Danio rerio: one gene and its partners. The protein of the gene in region 3 purifies or fractionates together with the protein of the main gene of each other region. This does not show direct contact. Links are inferred from orthologs where the notes say so. Each region holds a gene or a part of one and is shown on either strand. Other genes may lie near its edges. The genes, in order: sntb2, sntb1 and adra1d.

Region 1 (3,660 bases), on a different chromosome or scaffold from region 3:
TTCATTACAGCTCTAATCATTTCAATATATTAACAGTATTTGGTAATAGTGAAATAAATATATAAAAACATATTCTTATGTGGAGTTAATTATTAATGTGTAGATGCATGTATTATGGTGCTGCATGTTTTTGTGATGCAGGTTGTTGGAGCTTCACTCTCCGGACGGTCAGCACACGGTGGTGCTGCGCTGTAAAGACGGAGCCACTGCTCACTCCTGGTTCACTGCCATTCACACCAACGTGGCGGCTCTTTTACCACAGACCCTGAGCTACATCAACACCTTCCTGAACAACGCCAACACTCACTGCACTCTCAAACACATCGGCTGGCTGGTGGAGCAGGTACGTCCATACAAGTCAGCACTTTATCCCTTTATAGGGCACTCAATAGCTCTGTTTCCTTCCGCCTCTTTTCATGTGCATTTTGGATTATTGCTATAAAAGTGCTTGATGAGACGCCAAGATGCGCATAAATTTGGAAAATGTAATAAACAGCATAATTTGAGAAAAATCTTGTGTTAGCTGTGTGGATCATGAATGTGTTTGCGTGCAGCTCGATATGGACGGCAGCCGGCATCAGTACAAAAGAGTCATCATGGCACTTACAGAGAAAGATATCCTGCTCTTCCAGGCTGTACCATGGACGTATGAGAGCTGGACGACTCCTGTATTAACACATCCGCTCCTCGCCACACGGTAACATTCAACAGTTTACCTTCCCTTCTTCACTGTTTACTTCACTCTGCTGAGAGCTCATTTACATATAAAAAATGGTCTACTTTTTCCTCTCAATACCAAAATAAATGCACAAAAATGCGGCTGCAGGTGCTAGTGGGCGGGGCTTTCTCCCTCTGATGACATCATACAAAGGGAGAATGTCAATCAAAGTGTTTCTGCAGACTGTTTTCATCATGTCTGATTATAAGCAAAGGAATTAATCAATTTTGACCATAAGTGGCTGGCTATATTCACTCAGTCTCACACACAACTGTGTTTAAACCCCTTATTAAAGTGATTTTTGCATAATAGGTGCCCTTTAAAATAAATATTTCCCACAAAAATGGTAGAATTTTGATCAAAAGTAAGCCTTAAAAAGCTGTTTTAGATGTTTAGCTACTATTTATTGCGCGTGATGTCTTTGTATTGTTGTAAACCTGCTATAGAAAAGTGATATTGATAAAATGTTTGTATATTTTATCAGGTTTTTGCTGATATAGCAATAAACTCAACCCTTTTCTCTCAGCATATATCATGGGCAGGGCTTGACATTAACTTTTTTGATCACCAGCCACTGTAGCTAGCAGTTTTCCAACGTTGCCACAATTTTGTTGTTGGGAAAATACATTTTATATGATTAAATTTGACTTTAGCATGCTAAAAATGAGTAATTTATTCATTTTGTGTTATGTCCGCATGCCTCCTTGTTAATGTAGAATCTTTTCTCTGGCCACACCAAACTATTTAGCTTTGTGCCACAAATTTTAAATGAGGTGTCAAAACAAGCCGAATAAAATGATATACATACACCTTTTATTCAATAAAAAACAATTAAAAATATTCTCATTTATCTAAAACTATACACAGTAATTTGTCCGGGCTAAACGTCCCAGATCACCCGGTAACTATAGATAAAAGGAGAGTTATCTTCTATTAAAGCAATGTTATTGTAAAGGATGATAATTAATTTACCAAAATAACTGCAAGCAAAAGAAAGCAGGTGGAAAACATTCTGTGTGCAAGAGTAAAAAGATGATCACGTGCACACAGTTAGCGTTAGGCCCAATAATAATCTGTTCAAGGTATGGTTAAAGCGAAAGCGGCAACCGCTGCTGCTTACAAAAAATCTGGACATCTCTTGAAAGCAGCAGGACTGTGGGTGCACGAGCACCGCTTTTTTTCCAATCTATTTCAAAGAGAGACAATCACACTAGTTGTGTTTCCAGGCACGGTTGTTTTGCACAAGGAAACGGGAGCTTTTAAGCACTCGCCCCCCTCACCCATTGATCCATTTTGGTGACTGTTGCTTTAAATTCAAATGAGATTGTGCTCTTTTTCTAAAAGAGGGAGGAGCTACAGATGCCTATGTGTCAGCATAGTGGCAGATTCAAAAACAAGACTAACGTTTTATGCTAATGAGGGAGAGATGGTCACTAGTGGGAGGGGCTTTCCCCCTCTGATGACACATACAAAGAGAGAATGTCAATCAAAGTGTTTCTGCAGACTGTTTTTATGAAGTGTAACTCTAATAAATAGAATTAATACATTTTTACCATTAGAAGCTGCTCATATTCATACACTGCTGATACACAACTGTGTTTAAACCCTTTGTAAAAGTGATATTTGCATAATAGCTCATCTTTTAAAAAGTATTCAATTTCACTGTCTGATTCCTCTATATACCCTGTTGTGTGTGTGTGTGTGTGTGTAGGCTAGTTCACTCGGGCAGTGTGCGCAGTTCTCCAGCTCTGGGTGGAGATCTGCTGTTCGCCACGCGCACCGGCACCGGGCGAGGGATCGAGTCTCATGTGTTCCGTGTGGAGACGCACTGGGATCTGTCCACATGGACACGAGCGCTGGTGCAGGGCGGACATTCAGCTGCAGAGCTCATCAAAGAGGTTTCCATAGGTGTGTGTGTGTTGTTTGTAATTAGACCAGTGTATACATTTTTTTTCCCAGTTTCTGCTGAACGGTAAGAAGATTTCTTTCAGCACATTTCTGAAAATAATAGATTTAATAACCCATTTCTAATAACTGATTTCTTTTATCTTTGCCATGATGAAAGCACATAACATTTGCCTTGATAGTCTTCAAGACACTAGTATTCAGCTTAAAGTGACATTTAAAGGCTTAACTAGGTAAATTAGGGTAAAGTTAGGTTAAATAGGCAATTATATTATATATATATATATATATATATATATATATATATATATATATATATATATATATATATATATATATATATATATATATTTTTATATATTTTTATATATATATATATATATATATATATATATATATATATATATATATATATATGTATGTATATATATATATGTATGTATATATATATATATATTTATATATATATATATATTTATATATATATATATATATATATATATATATATATATATATATATATATATATATATATATATATATATATGTATGTATGTCATTGTATAACGATGGTTTGTTTAGTAGACAATTAAATAAATATCACTTAAGGAGGCTAATAATTTTGACCCGCTCTCTCTCAGGCTGTGTGTTGAACAGGCAGAATGTGCGTCTGATCCTGCACTACGAGCGAGGATTCACAGTGACGCGCGAGTCTGGCGATTCTGTGCTCTTCCACTTCCCCTACGAGCGGCTCAAGATGTCTGCCGACGACGGAGTCCGAAATCTCTTCCTAGACTTCGGCGCTCCAGAAGGAGAGATGGTATGAACAGACAACATCCAATCTTTACCCGATGAAGATTTTATAACACGCGTGCAGTTCTGATGCATATCACCCTAAAATCCACAGTTAGGAGATCCAGTTTATAGTTGACTACAATGCAAAAAGTGCCTTTCTTTAGATTTCTTTTGTGTTGATTTTAGTCCAAATGTCTAAAATTTCTTTTTTTTTGTCTTGTTGTAAGAAATATGTCAAAATT
Region 2 (3,660 bases), on a different chromosome or scaffold from region 3:
TTGACTATTGTAGACGCACACATTGTGATATCAATGCTCAAATGATATATTGTGCAGCCTTGATGGAAATTACAAAAAAAAAAATAAAGAAAAAGAAATTCTGTATATTATATATTCCTTAAAAAATAGATGGTTCAACTCAAGTGGTTATCCCAATCAATACATTAAAATGATATAGCATGTATGCATTTGATATTTACATTTTCCAAGATACTTAAAAAATACCATGGTTATACTAGAATAAATTGCAGAAAGCATATTATTCATATGCTATGTTTTCTAAAACATAATAATTCATTAATAATTATTTCTGTGATGTCAGTATTATGTCTAATAAGACAACAAAAGGGTTAAGGAATATAAGTGCTCAATATTATACATTATGTAAACTTATATTGTGCAGTTTTGTCATTCATTCATTCATTCATTCATTCATTCATTCATTCATTTTCCTTCAGCTTAGTCCCTTTATTTATCAGGGTTCGTCAGAATGGAATGGCTAACTTATCCAGTATATGTTTTACACAGCAGATGCCCTTCCAGCTGCAAACTAGTACTGGGAAACACTCAAACACACTTGCATTCACACACGTATGATGAACATTCACTGTTCTCTAGTCTACGGCAAGTAGATTGCAGGTTTGCACAGGAAATTTGCCACTTCTATTAAAAAAAGATGCAGTTCAAGTTAGTGTTGATTTTTCTGTCTCTACAGATTTGGTAAGTGTGTGATCAATGTTCTTTGTTTATGTTTATTCAGATAGCAAAGTAAGTTAGTATCGTCAGCAGTACTCTTTTAGTTTTAAAGACATACCTTAGTCAAAATGATTTAGGCACTATGTTTACAGTAATATCACAACAATATTATAAATTAAAAATCCTCCACTTCCACACAGCTCTCAGATCTTCTGTAAACACTGTTCTCCGAATCACTGTCTATCTCCCCTGCGTCTGTGTTTGTGTTGCCGGTGTAAAAATCAGCTGCTGTGCATGTAATGAAACTCCCTTTTTCATGCAAACCCTTCCCTCTTTTGCCACTCGACACTCCCACCAAAACAAAGATGGACACCCACTTTCCTTTTTTCAAATTAAAGGTGTAAAAACACCCTGCTGGTAAAAAGGGGGGGTTGGTGTTCATGGCCCTTTAACAAAGCATTAAAAATCGTCCTAAAGGACAAAAATAAATATTAAAACAACTTCTGAAACCACTAAAAAAAGTGGACAGGCACTGTGGCGTTCTATATCCCAGCGTGGGATTTTCTCCAATGAGCTTTCACCATTGGCACAGCTGCCCGACTTGACAGAAACTTGAGATTTCACAGAGCAAGTCGAGCCAAAATAAGTTTAGAAAAGTTCTGAGAAACAACAAAAAAAGCCTAGCTACGCTTTCTGCCAGTTTAGGGTCAACAAAACATTAACACATGCCAGCAGAGGCTGTGATAACTGCCCTATCAGCTTTGGAGTGAGATTCGGGCTGTAGTCCAGCTAAAATTGGACCTCAAATCTTACTCTTGTAGTAATAGCTGCTGCTCGGACGGGCATTTAAAATGCAATTTTACTGTTTCTTTCCAACTGGCTGAGGAAGATTGCAGTTGTGCGTTTCAGTTCCCGATTGGTCATCTCTGCCAGCTGGCATGCAAATGTGTATTTGCATGCGCTTGTACAGAGGCATGTGTTCAACAGAAGTGTGTGCTGTGATTGTTTTTGTATGAATGAGCAGTACGTCTGTGTGTGTGTATGTGTGTGTGTGTGTACCGTGTGGCGAGCAGAGGGTAGGTGTGTGTCGGGGTGAGCCAGTGTTCTCTCATGCGTGGCATACTGTCAAACAGCAGCAGATCTTTCTCCGTCAGCATCACGAGCACCGGCTTCCAGCTCTGCCTTTCACTTTCCGTCTGAAACACAAAGACACAAAACCTCAATTAGATACCGTGTAATTACATTTGATCATATTTCTCCTTGTTATTTGATCCTATTTTTCCATTCTCATTTTTAGACACTAAAGGAACAGTTCACCCAAAAAAATTAGTTTCAGACCTTTGAGATTATTTTACTTTATATTTTATATTGGAAAATGGTACCTGTTGACATCCATGATAGGAAAATGAAAACTCTATGGAAGTCAATGTCTACTTGATCATAACTTTAAACAAAAAAAACTATTTTTTACTACTATAAAAAAACATAAATTTGGAACAAGCTAAGGATTATGAGTAAGTTATGACAGTTTTCTTTTTGGGAGTCCTTTCATTTTACATATTTTGTTAATCTGAGAGATATGTAAATAAGCGCAGGTCAAGCAGTAAACCTCTGGGCTGTTTCTCTTTTAGGAAAACTTCATGTAACTAGTCGGAAAGTCAAAGCCAGAGTATAAAAACTATTGAGCCTCTTAAACTGTAACTGATTCATCAGCAAAATGAGCACTGATGTAACATGCTGAAAGCCATTTGCAACTTTTAGATGACCTCAAAGAAACAATGTTACAACATGTTTAAAGCGGTCATGTACTGACTATATAAAATCCCCTTGATCTGCTGACATAAGAGGTCATTGTTCTCTAAAAAACATCCTGTACTTTACCGAACTCAATACTTACTAATCTAAACAGTCCAATTTTATCATGTAATAGTGTGACACTCAATATATATTCAGACAGACACAAAAACATAACAAATGCCATATGTTGTTGTTGTTTTTATTGCAAAGATAGCCTAGATCAGTGGTCACTAACAGGCAGATCAAGGTCCATGTCCAGACCCAGAAGCATCCAATACAGGTGCAGACATACAGCAGGTCTGTTACTTCAGTCCCACTCCTGCTGGGTGTTCTTTCGCACCGATCCCTTCTGCTATTCACACTGTTTACCCACTGTTCCTGCTGAATAAGAAAGAAGAGCCGAACGCTCTCTCTATGCTTAAGTTTCGTTTACTACGATGGTGTCAAGTGAAACAGAGCTCTCTAGAATCATAATAAAGTCATATAGAAGTAAAATATATCATAAATATCATAAAGAAAAATGCACTGTTGCCTTGGTAATACAAGCATAATGTAAACAGAAGTAATCAATACTTTAAAAGTGCTCAATTATTAAGATGTGTAGACATAAATATGTAAAATATGTTATGTGTTGACATAAATATGTAAAATGTAAAATAGAAAAAGTGGAAATTTAAGCCTATTTTCTTAAACAAATTATTAGAACATACATTTTTCAAAATGCCCTACTTTTACTTAATTAACATGAGAATATGCAAATCTACAGTCATATGTGTGGGGCTGTTGCATTGTGAGGTATTTGACACCCAATAAATATGTTTATTGTTCTTTGAATTGTTCTGTAGGCATTTTTTTTTTCTAAGCATAGCACAAACAGTGCCATACCAAAACCTTGACTCTAAAACCATGATACATACTGTACCGTGAGTAAATTGAACTGTTGCACCCAATATATATATATATATATATATATATATATATATATATATATATATATATATATATATATATATATATATATATATATATATATATATATATATATATATATATATATATATATATATATATAATTTTATAATATGTATATATAATTTTTCTATAAATTTTTTTATTTTGCATTGCCTTGCTTCTGGTTCTAACAAAGGGAATGTGGATAAATTTTTT
Region 3 (4,161 bases):
AATAATGTTCTTTATTATTTATTATGTGCATTTTAATCATCCCTATTAATGTTTTCTGTATTCATAATAAATCATAACTGAGCATATAATATTATATTATATTATATTATATTATATTATATTATATTATATTATATTATATTATATTATATTATATGCATACTGTATATCCTTTAGAGTCTTAGAGTTTTAACTGTATAACTATCTGAACTGGTGTTTGTTATGCAAAGGCTATTATCACATACTGAATAGTATTTGGCTGATTTTGCAGCTGTTCCTACACTCTATGATGCCTCATTATATAGGCTATTTGCACCCCACGGAGCATAATGTTCTTCGAAAACAGTGATACATACACAGAGCACATTATAGTCTACACTCAAAAACAATTAGGAGTAAAAGGTGGAGCTGCTCTCAAATCTTGCTCAAAACTCCATTCATGTCATATACGCACACATTCAGTTTAAATCATTTTACAACCATATCATTTCATCATAAAAACAAAGAATGTTAGCCTAACAGAAAAGTGATACTGCTTTGTTTGTCGAGAAAAGCCCTAGTCATGACATTCAGCCTAACATTTTCATGATAATCCGAATGCTCTCCTGCTTTGTTTCGGACATTTCAATTCAATTCAATTCAATTCAATTCAGCTTTATTTGTATAGCGCTTTTACAATGTAGATTGTGTCAAAGCAGCTTCACATAAATGGTCATAGTAATTTCACGTTTATGTTGCTGTTTTCATTACTTATTAACACATAAATAAGATGTTTTTATTTAACATTTACTGTAAAATGTACTCTCAATGAATATTTAAAAAACAAATTTACTTTAGACAAAAGGAGAAAATTTGAATAAATATCTTTTCCCCCCCAAAATTTAATTTCAAAGTTTTCTAAAACAGACAAAGATATAGTTATAATCAACAAACATAATTTGCCACAAATTAAATCTCATATGAAACATACCTATAAATAAGATATCTCTTATGGAGCATAGCCTACATTTCTTAGCAGTATCAAATGTCTCTGCTAGAATATCATGAATCCAACAGCTTTGTAATTTATTTTCAACGTCATGTGGTAATCAAAAAATATGTTTGCCTTTTTTTATTCAGCAAAATTCGCATATTGTTGTTAATCATTATTTGAAGAGTTCAGCTGCAAAAACCTTGCTGTCTGAAACTTTCTACTAAAATGAACCATTGTCTGAGGCTCCTGTGTTCATAAATTCACATTTAAGGCTTTGAATAAATTATTTCGTTCCCTCTAAAGTGAAATATGCACGAACATACACATAAACTGAACATAAACATAGGAGGCTGAGAAAAATGCTCATTTTAGAAGAAATTTCAGACGGAGTTTTTGCATCGGAACTCTTTATGAACTTTTTAAAACTATTATAATATTTTTTAAATGATTTTTGACTTTTTAAATATCACTTTGTCAGAGTTATTTCTGTTGTGTTTGCGTTTTGAGAATGCAGGAAGCGCAATGAACTTTAATTTAGTTTGAATTTACTTACAACAGAGCTATTTATGCTCGTTTCACAACAAACACAGAACAGTCAAACTTTTACGTACCTAAAGGCAAAACGAAGAAAAACGGTAGCCAACAAAGAATGAACATCCCCACGACAATGGCGAGGGTTTTAGCAGCTTTCTTCTCCCTGGAGAACTTCATGAGTCTCACGGACAGTGAACTTCTGAACGGGTGATTTTTGGTTTTCGAACTCGTGCTCGAGTCCTCCGGCATGCTCCTGCAGTGTATCCTCAGCACCACTTCCATTGATTTATCTCTCTCCCGTTTCACGCCCGCTTCCAAACTTTTTGTAGTCCTGCGGGCCACGATGTATACTCTAATGTACATGACTAAAATCACCATGAGCGGGAGGTAGAAGGAGAATAAGGAGGAGAACAGAGCATAACCCGGTTCCTCCGTGATTCTGCAGATGCTCTCATCTGAAGGTGGAGGTTCCTTCCATCCCAAAAGCGGTCCGATTGAAATGACCATCGAAGAAACCCACACTAGCACAAGTATGACACCCGCTTTCCGTTCGGTCATGATAGTGGGGTATTTCAGGCAGTGTTTTACCCCGATGTACCTGTCTATAGATATAACGCACAAACTTAAAATAGACGCCGTGCAGCAGAGCACATCCACCGCTGCCCAGATGTTGCAAAAGACCCGACCGAACACCCAGCATCCCAGCACCTCCAGAGACGCGGAGAACGGCAGCACGATGATGCTCAGCAGAAGGTCCGCTATGGCCAAGTTCACAATGAAGAAGTTAGTAACCGTCTGCAGATGCTTGTTGCACAGCACCGAGAGAATAACCAAAATGTTCCCAACGATGGCCACCGAGATAAAAATGGCCAGAAAGATTCCCACGCCGATGACTTGAGAGTCGAGGGTGATGCCCTCACAGGTGGTGTTGCTGATGTTGGAGAGAAAGTCCGAGGGGAATTCATCCTTGCTCTCGTTCAGCAGTTTAGAAAATGTCATTTTTCAAACTCCATAAAGACGACTTTTACTGTTTCGGTTCGATGGTGTTGTCTGGTCTGTTCGTTGTGTGTTTCATCATCATCATCTTCTTCATCGTCACTCTGAGAAGGTGTCTTCAGATTCAGGTTCTTCAAAATGATCCAAGATATAGCCTATTTATAAGATGCTGTCTCTTGAACATCTAATCACACTTACAATTTTATCCATTACCTGAAAGATAACTGAAAGCATTTTTACACCTGTTTCTGAGGTAGAATGATCTAATAAGCTTTACATAACCACAGTGGCGGTGCACTGCATGTCACATGGAGAGGCTACTTCTTGTGGCATCCTCAGCAAACACTCCAAACTGCATCACAGAGGCTCAACGTGGACCCCAGTGCTCCAGGTCTCCTCCTCCAGCTCTGAGAACTTAGTGACGCGTCGCACACTTCCTGCACTTCTTCATACCACCACTAGAGGGTTCTGTGATATAATTATACATAAGGGACTGCTTTCATTTTAGAGTATCTGTGGGCTAATGCCATTTTATTTAGCACGTCTTCTAAGGTAAACAATCATGTAATATCAGTGATTTATGCATAACAGTTTTTAAAAATATAATTTTAATAAATAAAAGTGCCATAGAAATTAATGAATAAACTTACAATAATAGGCTAATCTATGTAAGACTTAGTTAAGTCATTTGCAAGAATGCTGTTTCATTGAGTTTAGTGACTGTGACCAGTGAATGTTAGATAGGCAGTGGTCAATTAAGTGTTTCTTCATGTTCTCTTTAGTTATAATATTACAAACAGCTCTCTAATTGTATATACCGTTTGTATAACATAAAAAATCTTTACTTAATTAGCAGCATTAACCTACAAGAAAAAAATACAACAACTGAAAATAGGACAACTTTTAGAGAAGGTTGAATGGTTTCATGGAAAGGGCAATGGAAAATCAACAACAACCACGTTTGCACAGTATGAATAAAACTAGGCCACAAAAACAAAACAATAAAAATAAAAAATAACTAACTGTAACCCAAAGTGTTTAGTAAATATTCAGGTCTGCTCAAATCATATTCACTCGACCAATAGCGCGAGCTTGTGGGCGTGGCTTTGCAGCATGAATCCAAATTGTTTTTAGCTAAGTGGGATAGCCTGATGGCTAACACGTGGAAACTTGAGAATTTAGAGTTGTTTTTCAGAAGTGCAGGGTTAATACAGAGACAAACAACATTGTAAAACAAAACTGGACACGTGTAGTGCATTTTAAACAGGAATTTGATGGAACATTTGCGTTTCAATCAAGACCCTGAACTTGGGGAGTTCCTCTGGACAGGTAAGCTAAACTCAAGTGCTTGTAGCACAAGTGAACTCTTAACTGTCAACCCCTATCAAAGGCTATCGTAAGGATATGAAGTATTATAAGAAAGAGTGTGATGACTGAAGGTTAAACTAAGAGGTTTGTTCGCAAATATGCTTTAATTTTTCAAATGCACCAAGTGGCATTAATATTTAGTATAAAGTACATGCATCAAATACATACTCTCTCTCTCTCTCTCTCTCTCTATATATATAATTTAAGAAAAAGTTAATTATTACAAATCACAGCGATATGTGTATACCCCTTAGACAAAATGTTCCTTTTCCAGTTGCATGTCCAGTGAA

What was found.
Region 1: the proteins of adra1d (region 3) and sntb2 purify together in Homo sapiens (tandem affinity purification; 4 studies listed by BioGRID and IntAct, with this or other methods). This does not show direct contact. The link is inferred for Danio rerio from reciprocal best matches to the Homo sapiens genes ADRA1D and SNTB2.
Region 2: the proteins of adra1d (region 3) and sntb1 purify together in Homo sapiens (tandem affinity purification; 4 studies listed by BioGRID and IntAct, with this or other methods). This does not show direct contact. The link is inferred for Danio rerio from reciprocal best matches to the Homo sapiens genes ADRA1D and SNTB1.

What each region holds. Positions count from the first base shown.
Region 1 is NC_133200.1:37,503,942-37,507,601, forward strand, and holds part of sntb2 (beta-2-syntrophin), read left to right. Parts: intron 1-141; coding exon 142-343; intron 344-554; coding exon 555-697; intron 698-2,429; coding exon 2,430-2,626; intron 2,627-3,264; coding exon 3,265-3,443; intron 3,444-3,660. UniProt on the Homo sapiens protein: Adapter protein that binds to and probably organizes the subcellular localization of a variety of membrane proteins. May link various receptors to the actin cytoskeleton and the dystrophin glycoprotein complex.
Region 2 is NC_133191.1:15,526,467-15,530,126, forward strand, and holds part of sntb1 (beta-1-syntrophin), read right to left. Parts: intron 1,893-3,660; coding exon 1,756-1,892; intron 1-1,755. UniProt on the Homo sapiens protein: Adapter protein that binds to and probably organizes the subcellular localization of a variety of membrane proteins. May link various receptors to the actin cytoskeleton and the dystrophin glycoprotein complex.
Region 3 is NC_133176.1:45,233,453-45,237,613, forward strand, and holds the start of adra1d (alpha-1D adrenergic receptor), read right to left. Parts: upstream 2,858-4,161; 5' UTR 2,507-2,857; coding exon 1,585-2,506; intron 1-1,584. UniProt on the Homo sapiens protein: This alpha-adrenergic receptor mediates its effect through the influx of extracellular calcium.